7 linked regions of the Cricetulus griseus genome follow. The protein of the gene in region 5 purifies or fractionates together with the protein of the main gene of each other region. This does not show direct contact. Links are inferred from orthologs where the notes say so. Each region holds a gene or a part of one and is shown on either strand. Other genes may lie near its edges. The genes, in order: Ddx23, Zgpat, Smndc1, Sf3a3, Snrpb, Snrpb2 and Sf3b3.

Evidence for each region.
Region 1: the proteins of Snrpb (region 5) and Ddx23 purify together in Homo sapiens (co-immunoprecipitation; 3 studies listed by BioGRID and IntAct, with this or other methods). This does not show direct contact. The link is inferred for Cricetulus griseus from reciprocal best matches to the Homo sapiens genes SNRPB and DDX23.
Region 2: the proteins of Snrpb (region 5) and Zgpat purify together in Homo sapiens (affinity purification with mass spectrometry; 3 studies listed by BioGRID and IntAct, with this or other methods). This does not show direct contact. The link is inferred for Cricetulus griseus from reciprocal best matches to the Homo sapiens genes SNRPB and ZGPAT.
Region 3: the proteins of Snrpb (region 5) and Smndc1 purify together in Homo sapiens (affinity purification with mass spectrometry; 3 studies listed by BioGRID and IntAct, with this or other methods). This does not show direct contact. The link is inferred for Cricetulus griseus from reciprocal best matches to the Homo sapiens genes SNRPB and SMNDC1.
Region 4: the proteins of Snrpb (region 5) and Sf3a3 purify together in Homo sapiens (affinity purification with mass spectrometry; 4 studies listed by BioGRID and IntAct, with this or other methods). This does not show direct contact. The link is inferred for Cricetulus griseus from reciprocal best matches to the Homo sapiens genes SNRPB and SF3A3.
Region 6: the proteins of Snrpb (region 5) and Snrpb2 purify together in Homo sapiens (affinity purification with mass spectrometry; 3 studies listed by BioGRID and IntAct, with this or other methods). This does not show direct contact. The link is inferred for Cricetulus griseus from reciprocal best matches to the Homo sapiens genes SNRPB and SNRPB2.
Region 7: the proteins of Snrpb (region 5) and Sf3b3 purify together in Homo sapiens (affinity purification with mass spectrometry; 3 studies listed by BioGRID and IntAct, with this or other methods). This does not show direct contact. The link is inferred for Cricetulus griseus from reciprocal best matches to the Homo sapiens genes SNRPB and SF3B3.

The regions. Positions count from the first base shown.
Region 1 is NC_048595.1:395,138,937-395,142,436, reverse strand, and holds part of Ddx23 (probable ATP-dependent RNA helicase DDX23), read left to right. Parts: intron 1-825; exon of another isoform or gene 826-972; intron 973-1,081; coding exon 1,082-1,287; intron 1,288-3,181; coding exon 3,182-3,292; intron 3,293-3,500. UniProt on the Homo sapiens protein: Involved in pre-mRNA splicing and its phosphorylated form (by SRPK2) is required for spliceosomal B complex formation.
Region 2 is NC_048599.1:540,403-544,658, reverse strand, and holds the start of Zgpat (zinc finger CCCH-type with G patch domain-containing protein), read left to right. Parts: upstream 1-1,456; 5' UTR 1,457-1,732; coding exon 1,733-2,313; intron 2,314-4,256. Other genes in the region: Arfrp1 (ADP-ribosylation factor-related protein 1), read right to left, coding at 40-122, 311-398, 687-779. UniProt on the Homo sapiens protein: Transcription repressor that specifically binds the 5'-GGAG[GA]A[GA]A-3' consensus sequence. Represses transcription by recruiting the chromatin multiprotein complex NuRD to target promoters.
Region 3 is NC_048596.1:8,173,020-8,177,275, reverse strand, and holds the start of Smndc1 (survival of motor neuron-related-splicing factor 30), read right to left. Parts: upstream 2,801-4,256; 5' UTR 2,605-2,800; intron 1,687-2,604; coding exon 1,567-1,686; intron 1-1,566. UniProt on the Homo sapiens protein: Involved in spliceosome assembly.
Region 4 is NC_048595.1:28,343,422-28,346,921, forward strand, and holds part of Sf3a3 (splicing factor 3A subunit 3), read right to left. Parts: intron 3,457-3,500; coding exon 3,318-3,456; intron 2,070-3,317; coding exon 2,001-2,069; intron 1,239-2,000; coding exon 1,171-1,238; intron 941-1,170; coding exon 833-940; intron 23-832; coding exon 1-22. UniProt on the Homo sapiens protein: Component of the 17S U2 SnRNP complex of the spliceosome, a large ribonucleoprotein complex that removes introns from transcribed pre-mRNAs.
Region 5 is NC_048599.1:48,439,422-48,443,610, forward strand, and holds the start of Snrpb (small nuclear ribonucleoprotein-associated proteins B and B'), read left to right. Parts: upstream 1-1,389; 5' UTR 1,390-1,536; coding exon 1,537-1,539; intron 1,540-3,620; coding exon 3,621-3,772; intron 3,773-4,189. UniProt on the Homo sapiens protein: Plays a role in pre-mRNA splicing as a core component of the spliceosomal U1, U2, U4 and U5 small nuclear ribonucleoproteins (snRNPs), the building blocks of the spliceosome.
Region 6 is NC_048599.1:35,872,897-35,876,396, reverse strand, and holds part of Snrpb2 (U2 small nuclear ribonucleoprotein B''), read left to right. Parts: intron 1-3,228; coding exon 3,229-3,369; intron 3,370-3,500. UniProt on the Homo sapiens protein: Involved in pre-mRNA splicing as component of the spliceosome. Associated with sn-RNP U2, where it contributes to the binding of stem loop IV of U2 snRNA.
Region 7 is NC_048596.1:187,229,787-187,233,286, reverse strand, and holds part of Sf3b3 (splicing factor 3B subunit 3), read left to right. Parts: intron 1-28; exon of another isoform or gene 29-116; intron 117-330; coding exon 331-468; intron 469-1,417; coding exon 1,418-1,521; intron 1,522-3,302; coding exon 3,303-3,468; intron 3,469-3,500. UniProt on the Homo sapiens protein: Component of the 17S U2 SnRNP complex of the spliceosome, a large ribonucleoprotein complex that removes introns from transcribed pre-mRNAs.

The sequences.
Region 1 (3,500 bases), on a different chromosome or scaffold from region 5:
AGGCCAGCTGGTGCTACATAGTGAGATATGTATATATTCTTTTATGGCCTGTGTGTGTGTGTGTGTGTGTGTGTGTGTGTGTGTGTGTGTGTGTGTGTGTGTAAGATAAGTGCAGAGGAAGAGAAAGAAAGGGAATGTACATGCCATACGGTATGTGTAGAGATCAGAGGACTACTTGCCAGGGGTTGGTTCTCTTTCCATTATGTGGGTCCTAGAGCTCAAACGCAGGCCATCAGGCTTGGCATCAGGCAGCTTTGTCCCCATCCTACCCCTGAGCCATCTTGCTAGACCAAGAAAATTTATTCATATTAAATGGTGACTAGCATATCTAATAGATAGCTAGAAGTAGAAATAGATGGTGTTTACTAATGCTTCTCTTTCACACCAAACAGTAGCCCAGAGTAGTCCTAGAACTCACCACTTAGACCAGGCTGCTCTTGAATTTGTGATTATTGCCCCGCATCAGTTTTCCAAGTGTTGGGATTACAGGTGTAAGCTAATACATTTGGCTTCTAGCACATATTTTTAATAATAATTCTTTGTAGTTTAATTCCAAATACATGGTATACTTGTTGTGCATATTTAGAGTCTACCCCTAGGTGTGGTGATGGCTTCTAATCCTAGCACTTGGGAAGCTGAGGCAGGAAGATCACCTTGGGTTAAAGGCCAGCCTGTGCTATAAAGTGACACCCTGCCTCAACAAGTGGATAAATGAATATATAAAAAGAAATCACAGGGAGACAATATCGTGGAACAAATAAGAATGGACTTTTTTTTTTTTTTTTTTTTAAACAGGGTTTCTGTGTATAGCAGTCCTGGCTGTCCTGGAACTCATTCTGTAGACCAGGCTGGACTTGAACAGAGATCTGCCTGCCTCTGCCTACTGAGTGCTGGGATTAAAGGCATGTGCCAACCATCCCAGCATTCGAATGGGCTTGCTATCTAGCATTAGTGTTACCTCAAGCAATTAGGGTATGTACTGTGCCTCAGTTCTCTCATCTATGAAGTAGGTATACTAATGCATGTATTGTTTTGAGATTTACTGAACTGTGCATAGTAATTATTTGCCTTTCACACACAGATGGCAGGAGAACTGGCTGACAAAAAGGACCGAGACGCATCACCCAAGGAGGAAAGGAAGCGATCACGGACTCCTGATAGAGAGCGAGATAGAGACCGAGACCGGAAGTCCTCCCCATCTAAAGACAGGAAGCGGCATCGGTCACGGGATAGGCGGCGAGGAGGTAGCCGTTCTCGCTCTCGGTCCCGTTCCAAGTCTACAGAGAGGTAAAGTCACTTTGCATGTCTGTTACACAGGAAGGGGGAAGACATTTGGTGCTTCCAGCACTAAGCAGCTTTTCATATAGTAGCCTACCTTGTCCCAGGTGGACCTGCAAGTACTTTCAGTTTTCTTGTTCCTTTTTTCTGAAATGTAGTCTCCCTGTGTAGCCCAAGTGAACCAGGACTCATGGCGTTCCTCTGTCCTGGCCTCCTGGATGTTGTGGTTATTGGTGTTTCCATGGCACGCAGCTGAGTGACCAGTTCCTGCAGGTTAAAATGTGGTACATGAGCTTATAAGGTGAAGGTACAGAGGTCAAGGATAATGGATTTAAAGGAAAAAGAAAGGAAGATGGCTCACTTGTTCTCCCAGTCCATGATCTTAGCTTGCACTGAAGAGCACTACAGCAGTGCTCTGGAAGAACCTCTTACTAAGGAACTGTGTGCTGTTAACTACAAGCCTGGGCTTAGAGGGTAATGTGCTTGCTATGCAAGCATGAGGACCTGAGTTGGGATCTTGAGCACACATGTAAGAAGCCACGTGTGGCAGCATGCACCTGTAAAGCCAGGTGAGTTGGGGCTTGCATAGTCAGCCAGCTATCTTAGCCAATTGGTAAGCTCCAGATTCAGTGAGGGGTCCTGTTTTAAAAGAAAAAAAGATGAGGAAGACAGCTCAGTGGCTAAGGGCACTGGCTACTCTTCCAGAGGACCCAGGTGTGATTCCTAGGATTCCTAACACTCACATGGTAGCTCACAACTGTCTATAACTCTAGTTCAAGGGGATCTGATACCTTTTTCTGGCCTCCTTGGGCAACAGGCATACATGTGGTACATGAACATCCATGCAAGAAAACACACACATAAAACAACTTTCTCTTTTTAAGGTGCAAAGTTTGGTGAAATGGCTGGGTGGTAAGCATCAGGATCTGAGTTCAAATCCCCAGAATCCAAGTAAGAAGCTAGGAGTGCCAGTAATCACTTGGATAGGCAGGTGCCACCAGCTGACTGGCCAGCTAGCCTAGCCAAAATGGCAAGCTTCCAGTCCAGTGAGACTAGTGGTCAGGGTTCTCTGGAGGAACAGAACTTAGAGTGTATCGCTATATACAGAGAAAGGGGATTCATTAGAGTGGCTTACAGACTGAGGTCCAGCTAGTCCAACAATGGCTGGCTGTGAACAGAAAGTCCAAGAATCCAGTAGTTGTTCAATCCACAAGGGTAGGTGTCTCCACTGGTCTTCATTATATACTAGAATCCTGAGGAAGTAGACTCTAAGGTCACTGAAGGAATGGACTTGGTAGCAAGGTGGAAGCAAGCAAACAAACAGCAAAAGCTTCCTTCTTCCTTGTCCTTATATAGACTTCCAGCAGAAGGTGTGGCCTAGGTTAGATCTTCTTACCTCACAGATTTGGATAAGAAGTAGATCTTCCTACCTCAAATGAAGTAAAACCCTCTCAAAAGTGTGAGATGTGCACAGATGTGTGAGATGGGTTTTGGTTCCAGATGTGGTCACAGTGACAACCAAGTATAGCCATCATAGAGACCTTGTCTAAGGCTGAGAGCAGTGGAGGAAGATATCTGATGCTGGGTGCTTGCACCTGCATACTGCCTTGCATACACCATGCACACACACAAACTCACAAACACACATAAATGAAATGGAGTGTGGTAGAAACCATTTGATGTCAACTCTAGCCTCCTCACATGTGTACAGGGTACGTGTATCTATATACACCACACACATAGATCTTTCTAGAATTTCCTCACAGTTTCCCTGAGAAATGTATTTTCCAGTTTGTTAAACATTACTTTAAGGAGAAAGAAACATGGGAACCTTCTCAGGGCCTCAGTGAAGGAAGAAATTCTAGAAATAGCAAGTTATTTTTTTAAATTTTTCATCTTCCAGAGAACGGCGACACAAAGAACGAGAGCGAGATAAAGAACGGGATCGGAATAAGAAAGAGCGGGACCGTGACAAGGATGGACACAGGCGGGACAAGGACCGAAAAAGATCCAGGTAACAGAGTGGGTTTTAGGTGATGCTTCCATCTTTTCTACTCTGTAGCTCAGCTTCATGGGAAAAAGTAGATTTCTCTTAGCAGATACTATTGATAGTTTCTACAGAATGGACTTACAAAGAAAGTTTGTATCTTTTCCATTAGTTTGTTTATTTAATCAGTATATTACTGGCCCTGGGTGGCCTGCAACTTCCCATGTAGACCAGG
Region 2 (4,256 bases), about 48 Mb from region 5:
TCTAGAGAAATACAGTACAGAGCAGATAGTGTGTCTCACCTTGTCCCACAAAGACTGTAGTTCTTCTTGTCCACCTAAGTCCCAGAACATGAGACGAGCCTTCCCCACGTCCACAGTGCCAACTGGGGAGAGGATAGAATGAGCTAGCTCCTGACCTTACTCTTTACAAAGTCCCAGCTCTTCCTGGAATGAGGAAAACCATTCTGGTACCAATCCCAGCAGGCATGCACAGAGAGGGATCTGGCCCCTGGCCAGCTGGGCTACGTACGGGCTTGCATCTCTAAGGGACCCAAGCTCATATCCCCCTTACTGTTTAGGCCCACGGTAGTGGTGATTTTGGATAGACTCATCCCTTTGTAGTTCTTGTTAAACCGTGTTTTTGATTGTTCCAAGAAGGTCTGAGGAAAGAAAGAAAGGTGGTTAGGTAGTGGCAGCTAAAGCAGTTTCCTGGTGTCTTTTCTAAATATCCCTCCACATCCATATGCTTTGGGCAAATTCAGGCTTTCACACCCACATGGTTTGGGCAACTTCAGGCCTTCACACCCATACACACATGCACACGAACCTCTGCCTGTTGAATGCTCTTCGGGAGGCTGGTGGCAACTAACCTGTAGTCTTGGGTAGGGATTAGATTTGCAAAGAACATAAGGCAGGGAAAGGGAATTGGTGAGAGAACAGGCACCTACTGTCTTCCCGGCATTGTCCAGGCCTAGGATCAGGATGCAGTATTCATCCTTCTGGAACATGTACTTGTACAGCCCCGAAAGCAGCGTGTACATCCTGCCCTGGCACCCTGAGAAATGTCAAGGTGTGTACCAGGGCTATCGGCCTCCTGTCCGCTTCATCAGTGGTCCGTCGGTCCTGCTAGTTTTCAAATGTGGAGCCTCGTGGCTCGCGACTCCTTGCCCCCCTCTCCCCAGCCCCCGATTCCGGACCCTGCCTCCACCACCGACCACCCGCTAAACCTGGGCCACTACTCCCACTGCGGGTCATCTTTGTGAATACACCATCAGTCCTGAAAAACCCATGGCGGCCTACCCTGCTCCGCCCTCCTAAGGCTTCTTTTCCGGACCCTCAACTCAGCACTGGGAACTTCGACTGTCGTAGCTACCAGAGAGTCAGCTTCTGAGTGGGCCGCCTTTGGATCCCCCCCCGCTGCCGGGCCCACGGAGCCAAAGAACCAGCTGCCGAAGCCGCTTCCCTGCCCCCTACCCCAGGATTCTGGAACCCCGGCCCCTCAGTCCGGCGGAGACCCACCTGCACCTGCTCAGATCTCGGAGCCGCAGACGCCGTCGTCGCGTCGCAAACCCCACCGACCTCGCGTTGACCCCGCGCGGTGCCTGTCGGGACACCGACCGGCCGACTGAGTACGAGAGGGCGGAGCCGCATCCCGACGGCCCCCGCGCGCCCCATCCCGGAGGCTCCCGAACGCGGGCACTTCCGGCAGCATCAGCTCTCGGGCGGAAGTGCCCGCGGCGGGCGGAAGGCTAGCGCGAGGGCTCTGCTGGCGAGGCCGGAAGCCCTTGTAGGCTGCGAGCACCGGCGGGAGGCGGGGCTGCGGACCGCAGAGGACGCGGTGGGATACTTTGCGGTTCCCTTGGCAGCGCCGAGGTCCTCCTCAGCCTCTCCAGCGGCCGGGGAGGGGGCGGCGTTGTCCTGAGCTCTGCCGACTGCTCTTCCCTCAGGTCTCGTCTGCTTTAGCGGTTCCGAAACTAGCCTGCGCGGTGTAGCGATGGACGAGGACAACCTGGAGACGGCCCTGCAGACCTACCGGGCCCAGCTCGGGCAGGTAGAGCTGGCTCTTGGTGCTGGCCTGGACGCTTCCGAGCTTGCGGACCTGCGCCAGCTGCAGGGCGATCTGAAGGAACTGATAGAGCTCACCGAGGCCAGCCTGTTGTCGGTCAGGAAGAGCAAGCTGCTGGCTACAGTGGACCTGGAGCACCAGGCAGAGGAGGACGCTGAGTACTTGGCTTTCCAGAAGGCTGTGGCGGAGGAAGGGGAGGCACCCGTCGCCCCCGTGGATGACTCGGAGACTGTCCCTGGGAGCGTGGTGCGGCCTGGACCCACCTCCCCTGCACAGGAGGAAGACGAGGAGGATCCAGATCAGGAGGAGCTGAGCGGTGCTAAAGTGAATGCCCCTTACCACAGCGCTTGGGGCACGCTAGAGTATCACAACGCAATGGTTGTGGGCACTGAAGAGGCAGAGGATGGTTCGGCATGCGTTCGCGTACTCTACCTGTACCCTACCCACAAGTCCCTGAAGCCCTGCCCGTTCTTCCTGGAGGGAAAATGCCGCTTCAAGGAGAACTGCAGGTAAAGCCCTCTGCTACTAGCAATAAGGGTCACTCGAGCAGGACCACTGCTGTGGCCTGCCGCCTTCACAACTTGTTCTCCACCCCGCAGAATTGATAAAAGAGAAGGGGGAGCTTCAGGTGGCTGACAGGCTTTAACAGGAACATTCCCTGTTAAGTAAACACATAAGTAAACACATTATATTCATTCTCTCTCTCTCTCTCTCTCTCTCTCTCTCTCTCTCTCTCTCTCTCTCTCTCTCTCTCTCTCTCTCCACCTCCCACCCTCCCTCCCTCTTTTTTTGGATACAGAGTTTCACTGTGTAGCCCTGTCTGTCCTGGAGCTCGCTCTGTAGATCAGTCTGGCCTTGAACTCAGAGATCTACCTGCTCTGCCTCCCAGGTGCTTGGGACTAAAGGCGTGTGTCACCACTTCTAGCTAAGATTTATTTTTGTGTGTATTTGTGTGGGTATGTGAACATGAGTACAGGTGCCAGAAGGTGTTGCATGTTCTACAGCTGGAGTTCCAGGTGCTTATGAGCCACCCAACATAGATCCTGGAAAACAAACTCAGGTCCTCTGCAAGAGCAGTATGCTCTCAACCACCAAGCCATTTCTCTAGCTCTATATACTTACTTTTCTTTTTAATTGTGTGTATGTGTGTGTGTTTGTGAATACATGTGTACTTGAGTACAGGTGCATGAGGAGGCTAAAAGAAGGTGTTGGATCTCCTGAAGCAGGAGCTTCAGGACTACTGGTAGTGAACTACTTGGGTCTTCCTCAAAAACATTACACATACTCTTAACCACTGAGCCATCTCTCCAACCTCCAGAGACCACCTATATTCCTTGGTTTGTGGTTCTCTTACATCACTTTAAGCTCTTACTTCCATGGTTACATCTGTACTCTGCACATTTTATTTCTTTACTTTTTCTTTAACATGGGATCTCATGTAGCTTTAAGCTGGCCTTGAAATCCATATATAGCCAAGGATGACTTTAAATTCTTCATCTTTCTGCTTCTACCTCCCTAGGGCCAGGATTACAAGCATGTGCTACCTAGCTTGGCTCTGCACATCTTTTTTAGATCCTAGTAGACTTGACATGTTCCTTGCTCACTCTCTTTCCTTCTCATGCCTATAGGTGCATAAATGATCAGTGTGCTCAGTGGGTTTTCTCCAAGAATACACATGTTGCTATAACCAGTGGCTGCTTTATCTGCCATAGTCTTTTTGTGGGAAGCCCTGTGATGAGAGATTTAATACCTCTAAGTACTTTCTCTGACTGACATATGCTCACTTCTCTGTGCACGAACCTATGGGTAGGCCCTGAACTCATCCCATTTTATATAATTTTTGTTTTATTTTATTTTGTATGTATATATGCATGTGCCATGGTGCTCATGTGTAGGTCAAAAGACAGCTTTTGAGTGTAGGCTCCTTCAACCATGTGGGCCCTGGGGATTGAATTCAGGTCATCAAGCTTGGCAGAAGGTACCTTTACTTGTCAAACCATTTGTCAGTCCCCACCCCACTTTATAGATGGAGAGACAGACACCAAAGCACTAAGTGATCGGTACAATGTTGCTGGCCGTGAGACCACTTCATCACAAGGAGCTGCTTGTGGTATCAATTTTAGGGCAGAACTAAAAGACAATAAAACATCTAACACCATCTTTACAACCATCCAGGATGAATGAGTTGTTTTCTTGAATTTGCTTTAGATTTTTTTTGTTTTGTTTTGTTTTGTTTTTGTTTTTCGAGACAGGGTTTCTCTATGTAGCTTTGGAGCCTATCCTGGCACTTGCTCTAGAGACCAGGCTGACCTCGAGCTCACAGAGATCCACCTGCCTCTGCCTCCTGAGTGCTGGGATTAAAGGCGTGCACCACCAATGCCCAGCTTGCTTTAGATTCTTAAAAATAAATTTAACTAACTCCACCTGCATTACCATAACTTTGGTGTATGTC
Region 3 (4,256 bases), on a different chromosome or scaffold from region 5:
AATGCTGTTCAAAACTTGACTCCCAACTCTCCTCTATCAGCTCTACACAGACCTCCCACTGCCCAGCAAGTGCACACTCCTGTTCTTCAAAGGCCAGAAAGGACTGCTTTAGGTCAGCAGGGGTGGATGGGCAGGTCAACCTGCTTCTGTCACTCCACCTTCAACCAATCCTCAGTGCACAGGTAACTGAATGGCACATCACTCCCTAAGCGTGGCTTTAAACTGAAGGAGAGCACTGTTCAAAGTAATATTATCCCACATTTACACTATTGTAAGTCTAGAATCTGAGTTTAAGAATGTCCAACTCATTTTAAATTAAAATAGATCTTTCAGAATCCCCCAATCTATTAAGCTCTCTCTAGTATGTTACATTTGAAATTTTGTGGGGTTTTTATTTTGAGATAGTGTCTCACCATGTAGCCTTGGATGGCCTAGAACTCAGAGCAATGCCTACTTCTGCTTCCTGCATAAGCTTCCTAAAGATGTACACATCAGGCAAAATCTAATATTAATAGCCATCAATAGTATAAAGGGAAGGACTATTTGGATGGGACATAGAATAAGCAGAAATCATCAAAACACCCTGAATTTTAAGGATGTTCTTAAGATCAAAACTTTTGTACACAATATTTACAAATTACATGTGCTATTTTTCTTAGGCTGCTGCTCTAAGAATCGACAGGTATTGAGTTTGTCCTGAAGCCCCCCGTGCATGTACTTACAAGTTTCATAATTCCTATCTCCCGTGAAAGTTATGTCTCCTTTTACACCAATTCAACTTAGACAGGCACAACTACAAAGCCAAGTCCTAAGTCCAAACACTTACAACATGGGCAGAATGGGATCTCTTTACACATCCCCGTGTAAGCACATCATGAGTGTTTTTACAAAAGGTGTACCCCATTAGTGCGGAGAACCATGGTCACAGTTTTTGGTTCAGTGAAATGGACCTTAATCCGGGTATCCTTTCCTCCTTTAACACTGTTACCTTTTGAACTAAGTTTCCTTGTCAAATCTTTAAAAATAAACGCATACTCAGTTGCAACGTTTCTTCTCATGAGCTCCTAAAAGCACACACAAGAGTTACAAAACCATGAGTGTTTCATTCATTCCAATGTACACCTAATGGAGAAAGCAACCACAGAAGCCTGGGTGCCCGCGTGTGTGAATACAAGCAGGGAGCCCCTTCTTCACCGGTGCGTACACAGCGTGCGTGCGTGCGTGCGTGCGTGCGTGCGTGCGTGCGTGCGTGCGTGCGTATGTATGTATGTATGTATGTATGTATGCATGCAAGCAGGGAGTATGTATGTATGTATGTATGTATGTATGCAAGCAAGCAGGGAGCCCCTTCTTCACCGGTGCGTACACAGCGTGCGTGCGTGCGTGCGTGCGTGCGTATGTATGTATGTATGTATGTATGTATGTATGTATGTATGTATGTATGCAAGCAGGGAGCCCCTTCTTCACGGGTGCTTTAAGTGCCTATGAATTCTGAACAACACTTCATTTGAGAAAAACAAATATTCTTTCAAGCAACATCAACTCCAACTGTCCACTTATCCTTACTTGCAAATCCTTCTTCAATTTCAAGAGGTCTTCATTTTCTCCGTTCCCAGACAAGGCAGCTTCTACTTGCTGGAGCTGAGCTTTGTAGCTAGCCAACTGTTTTGCCAGGTCCTCTGACATCTGAGGAAAAAAATGAAAAAAACCATACGAGCTGAGTCAAACGCCGAACTACAAAAATGGTCCTCCAACCGGCCTAAGTTATCACTTCTGCTCCCAGCTCGTTTTATTCCTCATCACTTGTACTTTCTTCAGATATAGCTAACCCCCAAACTTCAAAGCAATAAATCCTATGGACTACAGCATGTCAGAGAAAGCGATCTGCTTGAAGAAAGGCAGGGTCTGTCTGTGTGGCTTTGGAGGCTGTCCGGGCAGTCGCTCTGTGGGCCAGGCTGGTGTCGCACTCACAGAGCTCCCCGCGCCTGTCTCTGCGTCCCGAGTGCTGGGAGTAAAGGCGGACGCCAGCACCGCCGGGCTTCCGACAAGCTTCTCCCCGGTGGGCAGAGTGAGACCAGGCAAGCGAGGACGGGCGAGCCCTTCCAAAGCCAGACAGCGCTGCGCAAGGCGCTTCTGCGGCCCTGGCGTCGGGCGAGCGCGGCCTGCGGAGCCCCGTCCCCGCCGCGGCCGGCCGTCTCGGGGGCGCAGCTCGGGGCTGCACTGCGTGCGGGGCACACGGGCTGCAGGACCGCGTCCGGGCCGCTCCCCCTCCCCGGCCCCCGCCCCGCCACAGCTGCGCCCGCCGCTCGCAGCGGGAAGCTCGGAGCTCCGCTTCCATGGAAACGGCGGCGCCCCGCATCCACCATCCTCCCGGGCCTGTCCCCCGGCCGCCCGCCCGCCCGCCGGCTTCCCCGGGCCGGCCACGCTCGCCGCCTGGGCCCGGAAGCCTCCCCGCCGGCCCGGGCGGCCCACTCGGGGTGCGAGCGCGGCCGGCCCCACACGCTGCCCGCGCCGGGACCCCGCGGCCTCCGTCTCTACTCCAGGCCGAGGCCCGGCGAGGCCTACACCCTCCGTCCGTCCGTCCGTCCGTCCGAGGCTCGTTACCTTGGGCGGGGCTGGGGACGGGGCGGCGGGCAGGGGTCGGGGAAGCGGGCCCAGCGGCGGCGGCGGCAGCAGCGGCGGCGACGGGGGCGAAGTCCACGGCGACGAGAAGGTTCGGTCTCAAGAGGGAAAACTCCAGCGGCGGCGCGGGGGGAGGGGAGGAAAGCCGGGCTCCCGCAGGAGGAAGAGACAAGGCGACTCAGATCTCGCGAGACGCGCGGGCTCTCGCGGAGTGGCGCTGGCGTCACATGACTCCCGGCGTCCTCTCAGCGGCCGGCGTCGGCGGCCTCTGGAGGCGGGGTGGGTGTGGCCTCACTGGGGCGGAAGTGACGCGTCTGCGCTGCGCCTGGCGCAGAGTGCGGGCTCCTCTTGCGTCAGTTCCTCCCGGAGCGGCGGCGGGGGGGCGGGGCGGCGGGGGCGGGCGGGGGCGGGGCGTCCTCCCGTGGGCTGCCCCGTCTGGATGCCGGGGCGAGCGCTCGCGAGCCTTCCCGGCAGGGGTGAGGACACGAGGCAGGGGGTTAGTGCCGAGAGTGGCGGGGCCTAAGGGCGCCTGCGGCCCCGCCCCGGGGAGGCGGGGGCAGAGAGGCGGGGGCAGGGGCAGAGAGGCGGGGGCAGGGGCAGAGAGGCGGGGGCAAGGGCAGAGAGGCGGGGGTAGAGAGACGGGGGCAGGGGCAGAGAGGCAGGGGCAGAGAGGGCGGGGGCAGGGGCAAGAGAGACGGGGGAGGCAGAGAGGCGGGGGCGGGGGCAGAGAGACGGGGATAGAGAGACGGGGGCAGGGGTAGAGAGGCAGAGGCAGGGGCAGAGAGGCGGGGGCAGGGGCAGAGAGGCGTGGGTAGGGGCAGAGAGGCGGGGGCGGGGGCAGGGGCAGAGAGACGAGGATACAGAGACGGGGGCAGGGGTAGAGAGGCAGAGAGGCTGGGGCAGGGGCAGAGAGACGGGGGTAGGGGCAGAGAGGCGGGGGCAGGGGCAGAGAGACGGGGGTAGAGAGGCGGGGCAGGGGCAGAGAGGCAGAGGTAGGGGCAGAGAGACGTGGTGGGGGTAGAGAGACGGGGGCAGGGGTAGAGAGGCAGGGGCAGAGAGGCGGGGGCAGGGGCAGAGAGGCGGGGACAGGGGTAGGGAGGCAGAGGCAGGGGCAGAGAGACGGGGACAGAGAGACGGGGGCAGGGGTAGAGAGGTGGGCGCAGGGGCAGAGAGACGGGGGCAGAGACACGGGGGGCAGGGGTAAGAGGCAGAGGCAGGGGCAGAAGAGGCGGGGCAGGGGCAGAGAGACGGGGCAGGGGTAGAGAGGTGGGTGGCAGGGGCAGAGAGACGGGGGCAGAGACACGGGGGCAGGGGTAGAGAGGTGGGCGCAGGGGCAGAGAGACGGGGACAGAGAGACGGGGGCAGGGGTAGAGAGGCAGAGGCAGGGGCAGAGAGGCCGGGGCAGGGGTAGAGAGACGGGGGCAGGGGTAGAGAGGGCAGGGCAGAGAGGCAGGGGCAGAGAGGCAGGGGTAGGGGCAGAGAGGCAGGGGCAGAGAGGCGGGGGGCAGGGGCAGAGAGGCGGGGGTAGGGCAGAGAGGTGGGGGCAGGGGCAGAGAGGCGGGGCAGGGGGCAGAGAGGTGGGGCAGGGGCAGAGAGGTGGGGGCAGGGGTAGGGAGGCAGAGGCAGGGTCAGAC
Region 4 (3,500 bases), on a different chromosome or scaffold from region 5:
ATCTTTGTTCCTCTCAGTGTCTCTGAGAACAAGAAGAAAGCTGTGTCAGTTAAAGGTTCTTTCTGCACCTACAGCTTTACTCCTGAAAGGAGCACTGACTCTGTGACTGCATTAGAAACCCCCAGGCACACGAGCAACATAACACCATGCAGAGCAAGCTCTCTGCTTTAAGTCCTGCTGTCTCCTCTTCACATTGCCTATAAAGTCAATGACCCCGTAAGACTATTCCAACCCTAATACTGTAACTTATAGAGGACCATAGTATACAGGAAGTCCTGCAAGCAAATGCATGACAAAGTCCTAACTTCACTGCTTAGAAACTGCAAGAAAGGGCACATATTGCAACTTTCCCAAGCCCCCGAAAAAATTAGAGTAACAACTACTATTCAGGCTTAGTATGACAAATTAGAAAAGAACATTAAAACAAACAAAAACCTCCAAATGCCCAAAACAAAAAAATAATATAAAATACTCTGTATAGGTATGTGGCTTTTGAATACGTTTGACTGTCTTTAGTAAAAGTAGAAGCTAGGCCACAGTGGCACATGCCTTTAATCCTAGCAGTAGGGAGGCAGAGGCAGGCAGATCTCTGTGAGTTCAAGGTCAGCTTGGTCTACAGAACAACTTCAAGTACAGCCAGGGCTACACAGAGAAACCCTGTCTTGAAAAAAAAGATTAAGGTCCTGCCCAGAAATGTAGCAAGTTTGCAGCCAACCTGAGGTACAGGAGATCCTGTCTTAAAAGGAAAAAGCAAAGCAAAAGGAAAGAGGGAAAGCAGACCCTACGGGAAAGAAATCTAAAATAAGAATAGAGATGCGCCCCAGCTACTCACCTTTTTGTACCCTTTGATTTGGGATTTTTGGCAAACAGAGAAGTGTCGAGTGACTCCAAGGACTTTCCTTTGGTGCTGAACAGCCTCTGAGCTCGCTCTTCTAGGGTCCTAAGGAGGCAGGGGGTACATAGGATTTTAGGGTGAACTTTATGTAGAGCAGGCTGGCGTGAGACTCAGAGCCTACTGGCCTCTGCCTCTTAAGTGCTGGGGTTAAAAGTGTGCACCATCATGCCCTGCACAAGATAGTTTTTGCAGTGTAGGGCAACAGAAAACAACAAAATCTGAACCACACAGTAAACACACAATAAGTAGCTTTGATAGAAAAACTGGGTTCTTACCCACCACATTTCAGGCCTAAAGCCAACAGTGCAGATTTCAACCTGTCCAGACCCAGGGATGCCAACTCCTACAAAAGATAAATTAATTACAAAATAGAACAATTAGCTTTTTCCACAGGCAAGACTACATTCTACAGCCAACCTAGCTTTCAGTATCCAGAGACAGACTACTGCCATGTCTAGATGCTGCCACACTGGGAGGGTGGTGTAGGTAGAATTCTATCTGTAGGTAGAATCGGTCCTACCAGTATTTTCGCAGAGATGGGAACTGAACTTGGGACCCCACACCTGCTGATAGAGCACTACACCAACAGAGCTGTCTCCAGTACACTGTTCTCCTTTAGAATTACTGTCTTTGTGTTTTGAGACAGGGTATCATTCTGAAGCTAGCTTCACATTAACAGCAATTCTCCTGCTGCAGCTACCCTCTAACTCTAAATACTGTAACATCTTATCACACTTCTCTTAAAGAAGTTGAAAGGTTTTTTCCTCCTGGTTTTTCCATATGCCTAGTACATGCCTGTCCTCAGGAAATGGTATTATTGCAAGTCTAAGACACTGAAGACAGGAAGCAAGTGGTCCCTCTGAAGGATGGCCAGGGCTAGTGAGACAGCTAAGAAAGAAACAATGTTTGCTTTAAGTGATAACCTGAGTTTGAGCCTCAGGAGAGAAGCTGGTGGAAGGAGAGAACCAATGCTCACAGCTTATCATCTGCACATGCGTGCTGTGGCACATGTGTAGAGACATACAACTACTCCTACACAATAAATTTAATAACAACACAAAGATGGCCAAGCAAGGCTACTATCATCTACTGTCCTAAAACATACCTCCCAGGAGGAGAATGCAGAGAGATCAAGATGGGCTCCAGCATGGGTCAGGGCACTGCTCGTCTCTTTCTGGCAAGAACAAGAAGTTTAAGATCCAGGTTAATAAGATGAATGAAGGTACGCGAGCCGTCTAAATTCCCAGGACTGGCTGGCCCCTTTCTTTAATCACATTTACAAATAATGATCAAATCATACAGAAATGAAGCAAAAAATTAAAAAGATGGCTAGTTTCTTCCTGAAGGTTCAAGTTTATCAACAGAACACGTGTGTGTGTGTGTGTGTGTGTGTGTGTGTGTGTGTGTGTGTGTGTGTGTGTGTCATATCTAATCATTCAAACCGATCAGATTTTGTTCAGCAGGAGACACAGAGTAATCAGGATATGGTTGTAAAAAATCACAGGCCCAGGGCTGGAGAGATGGCTCAAAGGTTAAGAGCACCGTCTGCTCTTCCAGAGGTCCTGAGTTCAATTCCCAGCAACCACATGGTGGCTCACAACCATCTGTCAAGATCTGGTGCCCTCTTCTGGCTTGCAGGCATACATGCAAGTGGAACGTTGTATAAATAAAAAATAAAAAAATAAATGTTTAAAAAATATTAAAAAAAAAAAAAAATCCCAGGCCCAAGCCAGGCAGTGATAGCACACATCATTAATCCTAGCACTGGGGAGGCAGAGGCAGGTGGACCTTTGTGAGTTTGAGACCAGCCTGGTCTACAAAGCAAGTTCAAGGACAGGCTCCAAAGCTACAGAGAAACCCTGTCTCAGAAGCAAGCAAGCAAACAAACAAAAAACCCCTGGCCCTAGACAATGGCCAGTGGGTCCTGACAAATCTTGTTCAAAGTGTACAAAGAAAGCCTTGCTTTAGGGTAGAGTTGATCCTGAGGGACTGGCATCCAATGTCCTGAAGCAGAGACTCAAGACTGAAATAGTAAGCTTGCTGTGGGATATTTGTACACTGTGTGAAGGTGTATTGCTGTGATGGGTGTAATAAAAAGCTGAGTGGCCAACAGCTAGGCAGGAGGTATAGGCAGGATTTCCAGAGAGAGGAAGGAGAGAAGGAGGATTTTAGGCATGTGGAAGATAGAGAGGAAACAGGAGGTACAAGATGGAAAAGAGGTAACGCCACATGATAGGAAGTAGATTAATATAAATGGGCTAATTTAAGTTATAAGAGCTAGTAAGGAGCAAGCCTAAGTTATAGGCCAGGCTATGATAATTAACAGTAAGCCTCCGTGTCATTATTTGGGATCTGCTAGCAGGACAGAAAAAGACTTGCTACCTAAGTTCACTTCCCGGGCATGAACCCCGCTGAAGCTCACCGGCCATCCAGGAAAGGTACCATTATCCCACTTCTTCTCAAAGTCGGTCTGAATCTTCCCAAAGAGTTCATTCTGATCCTGAAGGGGCTTCACTCTATCTGTGTAATCCTGGAGGTACTCCAGCAGCATTTCCAGGTATCTGCAGAACACGCAACAGAGAAAGCAATCACAGCTTCTATCTGT
Region 5 (4,189 bases):
TTTACATAAAAGACCAAAAGTTAGGAAAAAAAACCAAAAAACAAAAACAAGGTTAGAGGAATAAATTACAAACTCCTGGGCATATAAACAACAGTTAGAAGTCACTGAGCAGAATAAGATTAATTCATTCAGCAAATAATTATTGAGCCTTTATGCTAAGCAGTGATCTAAGCAAATAAAACACTATACTCTAGTGGAGCTTACATTCTAATGGGGTAATAAAATAACTTAAGAATATAGACAGTAATCATCTCTTATCCCAGTCTATAGGTCTGAAAATATTAAATGGAAAATTCTAGAACTAAGCATTTAATGTTCTAAGTCATGCACCATTGTGACTAGCATGAGGAAATACCATATTTTTGCCCTAACCACAAATCTTCCCTTTGTGTAGGTTTCCACACTGCATACGCTACCCTCTCGGTAGCTAGAGGGATCATCAGATCAACTGACCTGCGTTGCAGTGTTTGTGTTCAGGTGGTCCTTGTTTTGTTAATAGTCCTAAAGCACTTAATTAGTGATGCCGGCAATTCAAAGGTACCCAAATATGCTTTCTTTAAGTGGAAAAGCACAAGTTCACTGAAGTATACATATGTAGAAAAAATACAGCATATTCAGGGTTTGGTACTGTGACTCGGAGAAGGTACTGGGAGTCTTGGAAGGTAACCCCTCCAACAATGAGGGGACTACCGCTTAGCATGTCAGATAGCAATCAATATTAAAGACAAAAAATGGGAAGGACTCGTTTCTTATCTATCTATCTATCTATCTATCTATCTATCTATCTATCTATCTATCTATCTACCTACCTACCTATCTATAAAGAGAAAGGACGATCAGGGAAGTCCTCACCAGGACAGTGTTATTTCAGTCTAAACATGAAGAGGAAAGGGCGAGACAAAAGCAAATGCAAAGGTACAGATGAAAGAACATTTCAAGCCTTAGGGGAAAATCAGTAAGAGTGAGTTCTGTGAGTGAGTTCACGAGAGCGCTGGGTTCAAGAACTGGAGTAGGGGAGGGGTTCCGGGGAGAGAAACACGCCACCCTCGCGGAGACTAAGTTGGGAAGGTGTGTGTCCAACGAGGATCCAATGCTTTCAAGGGCGTTCAGTTTGATGTTTATTACCAAATATGATGGTGTACGCCCGCGTCGGTACTAAGGATGCTATAGGTAGGAGGATCGGAGCTTAAGACCAGCCTGGGCGACACAGTCTCTAAAACAAAACAAAACGAGAGGGAGAGCTCGATAAAATTAAAACGAAGAAAAAAAAAAAAAACCAAAACCACACACACCAAAAAAATCAAAACAAAAACAAAACCCCAAACAAACCGGCCGCAGTCAACACCTTTCCACGCCCTAAACTGCTACCAGGGCCCGGAACTCCGGGGCGGAGGCCGAGCCGGAAGTAGCCTCACGAGGGGCGGCACTTTGCGGGCTGCATTTCCGTTAGCGGCGGCGGGAATCGCGCTGCTGGCTGGCGACTAGGCCTCTGTGGAAGCGAATCCGGCGGGCATCTGAGACATCGGAGCCGCCACCATGGTAAGAAGGCGCGGGCTGGCCGCGGGGCGCTCAGGGGTGCGGAGTGGGGCGGTGGCTGGCGGCGGCCGTGGGTTGAAGCCGCCCGTGGCCGACAAGGTCGGGGTCGAAGCCGCTTAATCCGGGCGCCAAAGGCCTGGACTTGCGGAGCGGCTGGGCCCGGGTGGAGGGGAAGGCTGCACCGGGGACCGAGGCCGCCGTGCGTGGCCCGGCGCCTCTGCGGTTACAGTTCCGCGGCCTCGGTAGCTGGAAACGTGTGCCGGGTCGCTGTGTGCCCGGGCTCCCGGAGCGGACGCGAGCCTCCGGCCGACCGGGGGACACCGGGCCGGACGGAGGAGAGGCGGAGGGAGCGGGAGGGTGGAGGAGAGTGTTTGCATGCAGAGCGCGACCCTGCTACGCGTATTTTTATGTTGGGGTATGTCAGGCGCTGGGGCTGCACCCTGAAATAAGTTGTGCGTTGGTTCAGTTTCTGGCTCTGTGCAGGGCTAATGTGATTCTCTATGGCAGTTCGGCTTTAGGCAAAAAAGTAACGGCAGGGGGAGGGGCGGGACGGGTCCAGAGCAGACGCCCAAGTGATTGTTTAGGAGCGCCCCGCTCCCCTGTACGAGGGAGGGTTAGAAATCTGGAGAACCGAGAGGGCCCAGTAGAAGGCAACGAATTGTCAGGAACCTGGTTGCTGAAGTCCCTGCATCTTGTTTTCCCTCTTGGTAGTAAGACATCGCTGGAAGAGTTTTCACAGGCTTCATGGACTTAGGTTTAGAAAGGTCAGCCGGGAAAAGTGGCCAGTGCTCGAAATTTGTAATTTCTGTGCATAGTAGGCAGAGGAGCTTGAATTTTGAAGCCAGTTTTGGCTACAGAGCAAATGTAACAAATGCCTCGAATGTCTCCAAAAATATTAGTCTAGTTAAGTAGCTGAAGAAACCCGAGGTAGCGAAAATAGGTTATTGTTTTTGAGAGTTGACTGAGACAAGTCCTTACTTAACCTTCAGCTTGGGTCGTCTATTTGGTCAGTAAAAAGGAATGACAGTGGACCCAGTTTTGAGGATTAAAGGAGATAAATCCTTTTCAAGGGCCTAGCCATACATAGCTATTAAATATTAGCTATTGGACCGATATACGCCGATCCTAGTAACAGAGCTCTTTGAGATGATTATTTAAGCAGAAAAAAATACAAAATCTGGTTTTCAGGTTAGGGCTGGGTAATGCTCACAGGGGTGAACAGCGTTCCTGGTACAGAGAAGACAACTTGGGTAGTTAAAAGTGACATAATGCCAGTTATAGTTGTGGGTAACTGATACGTTTCTGAGAGAGACTACCACAGATACCTCTGTTCACCTAGGGGTGTGTATAAGCGCCTTTATTTTTGCAAAGTTACATTGGGAACCAGGATAGAGAATGTTGTTTGCCTTAATTAAAAATTAGACTATTATATTATATATATATATTAGACTATTAAGTATCCAAACTAATTAGCACTCTGGCCCAGAAAAGTTGCCCAAGTTACCCTACTCCTGTTCTTGCTTCAGAGCTGGTTTCACTTTCTGGTAATAAGCTTTTCCTTAATTAAGTGAATCCACTTAGTGCCTGTTGAATTCCAGTTCTTAGTTTAGATGGATTTAGTTGTTCGTAGAACTGAGTCTATATAGTGGTGGATGGCTTAATGCCCACTAGGTCTAGTATGGGTGGATTTGATTAGTTTGTGAACACTTTAACTCTCCTGAGACAGATACAACATAGACAAAGTTGTAGTCCCAGGGAGATTGCCTGTTTTAAGGGCAGGGAAAATAGCACATTAATGGGCAGAAATCAAGGCTAAAGCTGGTTGATAAGAGTCTCAGAAAAGGACCTTGTTTGGAAGATGTCAGGAAATTGTTGAGAAGGTTGGGAATAGAAAAGTAGGCTGTGGTGGAAGATGGGGGCGGGGAGCAGAAGTGTGTGAGCGAGTCCTCCCTGCTCCCTCTTTGCAGACTGTGGGTAAGAGCAGAAGTGTGTGAGTGAGTCCTCCCTGCTCCCTCCTTGCAGACTGTGGGTAAGAGCAGAAGTGTGTGAGTGAGTCCTCACTGCTCCCTGCTCTCTCCTTGCAGACTGTGGGTAAGAGCAGCAAGATGCTGCAGCACATTGACTACAGGATGAGGTGCATCCTGCAAGATGGCCGGATCTTCATCGGGACCTTCAAAGCTTTTGACAAGCATATGAATTTGATCCTCTGTGACTGTGATGAATTCAGGAAGATCAAGTAAGGAGAGGGCTGTTGGGAGGGAGAAGGAACTGGGATGGACTGGATGGATGGGCGGGCCAAGAGTGGGATGGCCATTCAGCTAGGTGCTCTTGTTTGCTCACTTGCTTTTGAAGGGAGAAACTTAAAGGGGAATGTTAGCTGCTAAGGAATCTCTTCCTTAATCCAGAAAACCTTGCTCTCCAATTCTAGCAAAGTAGAAGTTGGTGAGGAGGGCTGCTAGGCTTTTAATTTTTCTGAGTTTGCATGCCCCTGGGTACTGGGGTAAAGGGCTCTCATGTTCTCCCCACAGGTGTGTGAGGGGGGAGAGCTTGATTTTCTGGCCTCATTACCTATTTGTAAAGCTGTAGCCTAAAGGGCTCTCCTATTGCAGCCTGGTCTGAAACTGCTTTAAGAAGCCTCTGACCCTCTTCAGGG
Region 6 (3,500 bases), about 13 Mb from region 5:
ACTACTAGAGCTGAATTACTAATGAACTTATTCTAGTTAAAATGAGCAAAATTATATTATGATGTGCATCATTGAAAAATAGGATGGCAACATAGACAAGATTCTTCAAAACATTAAGGTAGCATAGTGATAACATGCATGGTTTCTCAGCACTAGGGAGTGGAGGCAGGAGGGTCAGAAGTTCAAGGATATCCCGGGCTACATGAGACTCTCTCAGTTAGGATTGGGAGGTCCAGAGAGCATGTGTGGAACTCAATTAGGAGGCCAATAGGTTTAAGACTGGGTGATGGTGGATTGGAAAATCTTAAGTATGAGGACATAGGCTGGGCCCTGAGTATAGATTCATATTGCCTTTCTGCTGAGATTGGAACATCATGAAAAGAGGTCTTGGAGAGCCAAAGCCTGTGACTTAGAGGATCTGACTCCTCATTTGTGTTCTGCTACTAGCAGAGGCTGCATCTCTATTCGCTTCCACCACCACTAAAATATGAGCAAGTTGAATCATTGGTTTAATCCAGACATCAGCAGAAACTTCAAAGGACTAGATATATATGTCAAGCTTTGCTGACCACGTAAAGTTTTGATACCTATTGCTTTCTTTGTGTTTTGAACCTTTTAAAATTGTGTTAAAATAATTGTTAACTCACAAGCTGTACAAAAACAGGTCATGATCTGGATTTGGTCTTAAGGCTGATAGTCTTCCCTTCATATCATGGAGAAGGACTGAGCATGAGGCCAATCTTATTCGTTTAAGGTGTATTCTTGTAGCTAGTGGTAGCATCAGCACTTGGAAACTAATAACATTTAGTATGATGCTTTTTATATACTAGGGGGGGAACACATTTTCCAGTGGGGTCGGGCAGTAAGATTGCATGCCTCCCTAGCCAGATGCTTCTCTGTCATAGCTCTTTATGCAGACAGCAGTGTAGGCAGTGCACATCCAACTGAATGGGTGTGGCTGTGCTCCATCCAGCCCTACAGTGTTAGCTGTCAGCCTCATTTGGGAGCCTTTGTCCTGTATCACTGTTTCCCGAGTTTCAGTAAGGTGAAGTTTCCTGAAGCAGCTATGATTATTTAATTTGAAAATATTTACATATCTAGATCTCATTTGCCTGGAACACAAAACTTCTTTAGGCAATTTGGCTGAATTGAAATGGCAAGTTGGCACGTGCCTTGTTAACTGGATACAAGAAAAGAGAAAATATTTGCTGTGTTTGGCACTAACCTCACCTTGCCAACTCATTTTTTAAAATGAATACAAAATGTCCATTGGTCTGATTCTATACTGAAGGTATTTTAGAGGTCCATTTTCTGCCTCTAAAACTTGGCAGGAGTTGCCAGATCTCCAGCATCTTGACAGGATAAATAAGATGCTTTGAGTTGCCTTGCTTGTATTTAAGTGCTTTTAGGTTAGATCAACAGTGAGCAGGGTTTGCTTCAAATTCTAACTCAGTCACACAATAACCTCAATAAAGTAGACCTGTTGTCCTGAGGGCTTCCATCATGAGTCTTTTGGAATAAATGTTAATCTTGCTCTTTGCTGTTTTTAAGAGATAATTGCATTTTATTTTTATGGGTATTTGGAGCAGAGTTTCTTTGTAATGCATTTTGGGGTTTTACTATTCACTAGGGTGTTTATCAGTCCCTGGCTTCTACCCACTAGAAGCTAAAAAGCATCTCTGCTGGCAGTATCTCTATATAGTCCCTGGACACTGCATTATGTCCTGTTAAGAGCCGTTGTTGAGATCAGATACTTTCTTAGATGAATGTGCTAACAGTGGCCAGCAGACAAGTGAGGGACCCAAGATCTGTTCAGGTCAGGGACAGGGTTGATGACCTCTGAGCACTGAATTCTTCTGAGTGGTAGAATTTGAACCTTAGCCTGTTTTGTCTGTTAGAACATGTTGGGAAGGTTAGCAGAGCTGTCTGGCACATGCTGCAATAGAACGGTCCTCATTGGCCAGGCAAAGCCTGGGGTTCTGAGAGTGCCTGTTTTCCTCTTCCCCTGGTGTATTCTTTCCTAGTGAAAGGAGGGGAAAGAGAATTGCTTTTGGTTTTAAGAAATTCTTTCCTCTGATCCACACTACTTTAAAATGCTTTTTCTTCTCTTTAGACGAAGATCAAATTCTTGGGATAGGAGGACCTTGTAGGGTTATTGTGTTTTGATGTCATCAAAAAAAATGTTGACTCTTTGAACTCTGGAGATATTTTTGTTTGAATGGAAATTGCAACTTGCAGACATACCCTTGGTAACTGTACAGGTAGTTGGCAGAAATATTTGGCCATTTCATCAGTGATGAATTTAGCCATGTAGCAAATTTAGTTTAAGGTTTCACTCCTCAACGCTGGTCGTCATTCACTTTGTGTTTTCAAAAAGCATAGACTCTGTAGCCTTACCTAGACCTTCTGTGTCAGGCTATCCGGGCTGTTGGATTGTGCAGTATAGTTGGCAAAACACTAGTATAGGCCAGTGTTTTTGAGTGCTTGCTGGTCTCAGGTGCCTACCCTCTTGCTGGCTCTCTCTGGTATAGGAAGATTATGCCTGATCATAGCAGCTGATCTCTATCCTTCTGTTTCATCTTAATCCACTTCAACATTTAAATTACTGAATTCATTTATTGAAATTGATGGATTCAAAGGAAAGTCATTTACAGACTTTTACTTTAAGTAAATACATTTTGAAGTTGATTGACACATACTGATCCCTTTGTGAGTCATTATAAGTTTTCGTTGTTATTAAGTCAGAAGAAGCAGTAGTGTAGCTTCTGCAGCCTTGCTCTTACCCTATGCAGTCTGGTCGAGTGGCTTTCTGTTTGTTTTGTGATAGTGGTGGGTATTGAACTTGGGACTTTCATACATGATAGGCAAGTACTCTCCTACTCAGAGTATCTTTACCTTTTCCTTTGAAATAGAGGCTAAGTTTTCAGACTGGCCTTGTAGCCCAGTCAGGCCTCTTGATTTGGCCTCCTGAGTACCTGAGGTTATAGATAGGAGCCACCCAGCCCAACTTTATTTGTCCTTTAATATTAAAGACAGGTGAGTGTAGTTTGCCCTAGTTGTGAATCATGGGCCAGTACTTATTTTCACTAATTTCTTTCATTGGTTTCCTTAAAGATATGTTTAAAATTAGTTTGCATTGTAGTTATGTACTGGGATTTAAAAGGTTAACAACTATTGTAAACAGCCTTCCACAAAGTAATGTAATTTATTTTCCTGTAACTAAAACAGAGAATTCAGTATGCAAAAACAGATTCCGATATAATATCTAAAATGCGTGGCACTTTTGCTGACAAGGAAAAGAAAAAGGAAAAGAAGAAAGCTAAAACCATGGAACAGGCTGCAGCAGCTGCAAACAAGAAGCCTGGGCAGGTGAGACAGAAAAGTGTGTGTGTGTGTGTGTGTGTGTGTGTGTCTGTGTGTTGTTCGCTCGCACACGCGCGCGCGCGCACTGCATGTGTGTGTGTGGGGGGCGTTTCTCTGTGTAGCCCTGGCTCTCCTGG
Region 7 (3,500 bases), on a different chromosome or scaffold from region 5:
GTGGTTGTTGTTCTTAAATTTTTATTCACAGCCTGAAATGATGACTTTAATTTCATGTCTCTTCTCTGACATTTTTCTCTGGAGATGATTTTTGCTTTACTGATCTGATCAGGCTGTAGAATGGAATATTAGCTGTTTCTTTGTTCCTGGGTGTTTAGTATGTATTTCTAGCAGACAAGTTTTAGTTATTTTGTTCAGTTGGCAGCTACTGTGGTTATTATTTGTATGTTAGACCTTGATGGTCTGTATAGTTCCTATTGTTAAAGTACTTAATTCTAGAATAAAAAGTACCTATTTCTAAGATGTTGATTATATATTTGGCCTTACTAGAATGACCTGGATGACCCTGAAAGAGGAATGATTTTTGTTTGCTCTGCCACCCATAAGACCAAGTCCATGTTCTTCTTTTTGGCTCAAACGGAGCAGGGAGATATCTTTAAGATCACTTTAGAGACAGATGAAGATATGGTAAGTAGACCATGGATGGAGGGGGGAAATATGTATCTGTTGTAGTCTATTTTTAATTTGAATATAATTTAAAACTCTTGTCTAAAGTACTTGGCTATATATACATGTAAGATTTACAAAGCTGCTTTGCAACCATCATAACTTTTCCCTGCATTAAGATAGGGAGTAAGTACACCTGATACTTGACAAGTCAAAAAGAGGGCTTTTGCCTTGTCTTCTTGTTTTGTTCTATTTGACTGTGGTCTCATGGAGGCCTGCTTTTTTTTTTTTTTTTTTTTTTTTTTTTTTTTTTTTTTTTTTTTTTTTTAGAGGAAATGGAGTGGGAGTGAATCTGGGGAGAGGAGGGGAGATTGTGGGGGGCTGGGAGAAGTGGAGGGAGGGAGGGGAACCTCACTGGGATGTATGGTTATGAGACAAAAACATACTTTTAATTAAAAGAAAGAAAGAAAAAAGAAATTTAGATACCTTAGAAAATGATTACTTTTACTTTTGGGTTTGAATGTGAAAATGGGTTTTCCTATTCTGGCTAATGAGTATCTGGTCTTGTAAAGCCATAACAATAATTGATGTGAATAGGAGAAAGCTCTTCATGTCTCGGTAGTTGATAAAATGCATGGTATTTTATTGACGTGATCCTTAACAATGGACATTTAGTTACCTAGGTACTGTTTAGTTGGGAATTGCTAAGATTTGTAAAGGTTAGGTAGTCATTTTCAATTTTTCTGTGTCATACAGACTCAGTCTAAATTAACTTTGGCATTGAAACAGAAAGAGCAGTAGACCCAGCAGTCTGAGTTATCATTTGTTCCCTTTTCGTTTAGATACTGAGCATGGTGGGGTTTTGTTTGTTTGCTTGTTTTTGTTTTTTTACTTAGTTCTGCTTGTGGTGCATAACAGCAGGCTTCTGTGGCCAAGCTGCACTTGCCTTTACACTAATCTTTTTCTCCAGGTAACTGAAATCCGCCTGAAGTACTTTGATACTGTACCTGTTGCTGCTGCAATGTGTGTGCTTAAAACAGGCTTCCTTTTTGTGGCATCAGAATTTGGAAATCAGTGAGTAATCCTTTTATTGTCCCAGTTTACCTTGGTTACCATAAATAGTAAAAGTTGGCAGAAGGGAGGTGTGGTTGGTGTGGTTTCAGAGCTAGGGAGGTTTTCACAAAGTAGTAAAGGTTTTTCAGAACAAGTAATTGCTTTCATTTTCTCTTTGTTTACATTTTCCCCAGCCCTTCTTTTCTATTGCATATTCTCTCTCTTATTTAATAAGTGTTTTTTTTAAAGTTATTTAAAATTTTATGTGTATGTCTGCTGAGTATGTATATACACCACATGCATATAGAAACCTGAAGAGGGCATCTGGAACTGGAGTTACAGATGATTGTGAGCCATCAAAATATGGCTGCTGGGGAGGCTGGAGAGATGGCTCAGAGGTTAAGAGCACTGGCTGCTCTTCCAGAGGCCAATTCCCAGCAACCACATGATGGCTCTCAACCATCTATAATGAGATCTGGTGCTCTATTCTGGTATGCAGGCAGAACACTGTATACATAATAAATAAATCTTAAAAAAAAAAAAAAAAGATATGGATGCTGGGAACCGAACTCAGGTTCTCTGTAAGAGCAGCAAATGCTCTTAAACTACTACCTTCCCAAGGCTTCCCTCCAGTCCCATTTTTCTGTTCTTTTTTTGTGTGTGTGCTTTATTTCATGGCTTCAGTCACTGCCTCTGAATGTCTGCAAAAATACCTTTAGCTGAGTGTATGGTGGTACATACCTGGATTCCAGCACTTGGAAGGCCAAGGCAGGAGAATCTCAAGTTTGAGGTCAGCTTGGGCTACATAGTGAGATGATTGTCTCTAGAAAACTAAAAACCAGAGAGATTCCTACAAGAACTTCTTGTGCAGACCTAAACTTGAAGGTCATTAGTACCTACACTGCCTGCCCACATCACCAGTGTGCCATGATCAGGATTTTTTTGTTATTGACTAAAAGAGCCACTTCTAGTAATTTGTAAGTTCTTAATTTATTTTTCCTCTACTACTTTTAGTCAAATGCAGAGTTCTCTTTTTACTTCTTTTTGTGGTTTCAATCTAAATTTAACTCGATTGGGTTTCCTGCAAAATCCAGTCTTCATAGAGTTGTCTCCATGCCACCTCAACAAATTAGAACAATCCTTATTGACATATTTCCTGTATCTCTGTATTAACAGTATTTGGTGAATTTTCACTGCCAAATGGAAGAAATCTCAACTGTAATTGCTATTTAAAACCAATATCCACAACTTCAAATGACATAAATGACAAGGTCTTGCCAGTAGCTGCTAATATGTATGCAGAACACTTACTAATTTAAGCTCAGTTTTCTCATAATTAAAATACAGATACTTTCTAGGAGATTGTACTATTTCTGCCTTGTCTCCAGTAGAAGCATGTGTGAGTATATAGGCCAGACCTTACTGTCAGGTATTTTCCTCAAGGCTCTTTACCTTATTTTCTGAAACAAGGTCTTGGGTTGAACCGGAAGTACACTGATCCATGCTTGTCTCCCGAACTCTGAGATTATAAATGGGTATTACTGCATCCTGATTTTTACATGGGTGTTGGGCATGTGTACTTAGGTCCCCATGCTTGGATGTTAAGCACTCCTCCAACTGAGCTATCCCTAGTCCATACTCTTTCTTCAACATGCCATTTGCCTAAGTACCTTTTTTCATCCCCGTTGAAGTTTTTACAGCTAACTTTGAATCACATCCCATTTCTTAGTATACTGAAATCTGACTATGCTTAATCGTTTATGCATAACCTGTGTCAAAGAAAGTTCTTTGCTTTTTCCCAGCTACTTATATCAAATTGCCCATCTTGGAGATGATGATGAAGAACCTGAATTTTCATCTGCCATGCCACTAGAAGAAGGAGACACATTTTTTTTTCAGCCAAGACCACTCAAAAACCTTGTGCTTGTGGATGAACTAGACAGCCTCTCTCCCATTCTGTTTTGCCAGGTATGACTTTATTCAATCACCTCTACACTGTG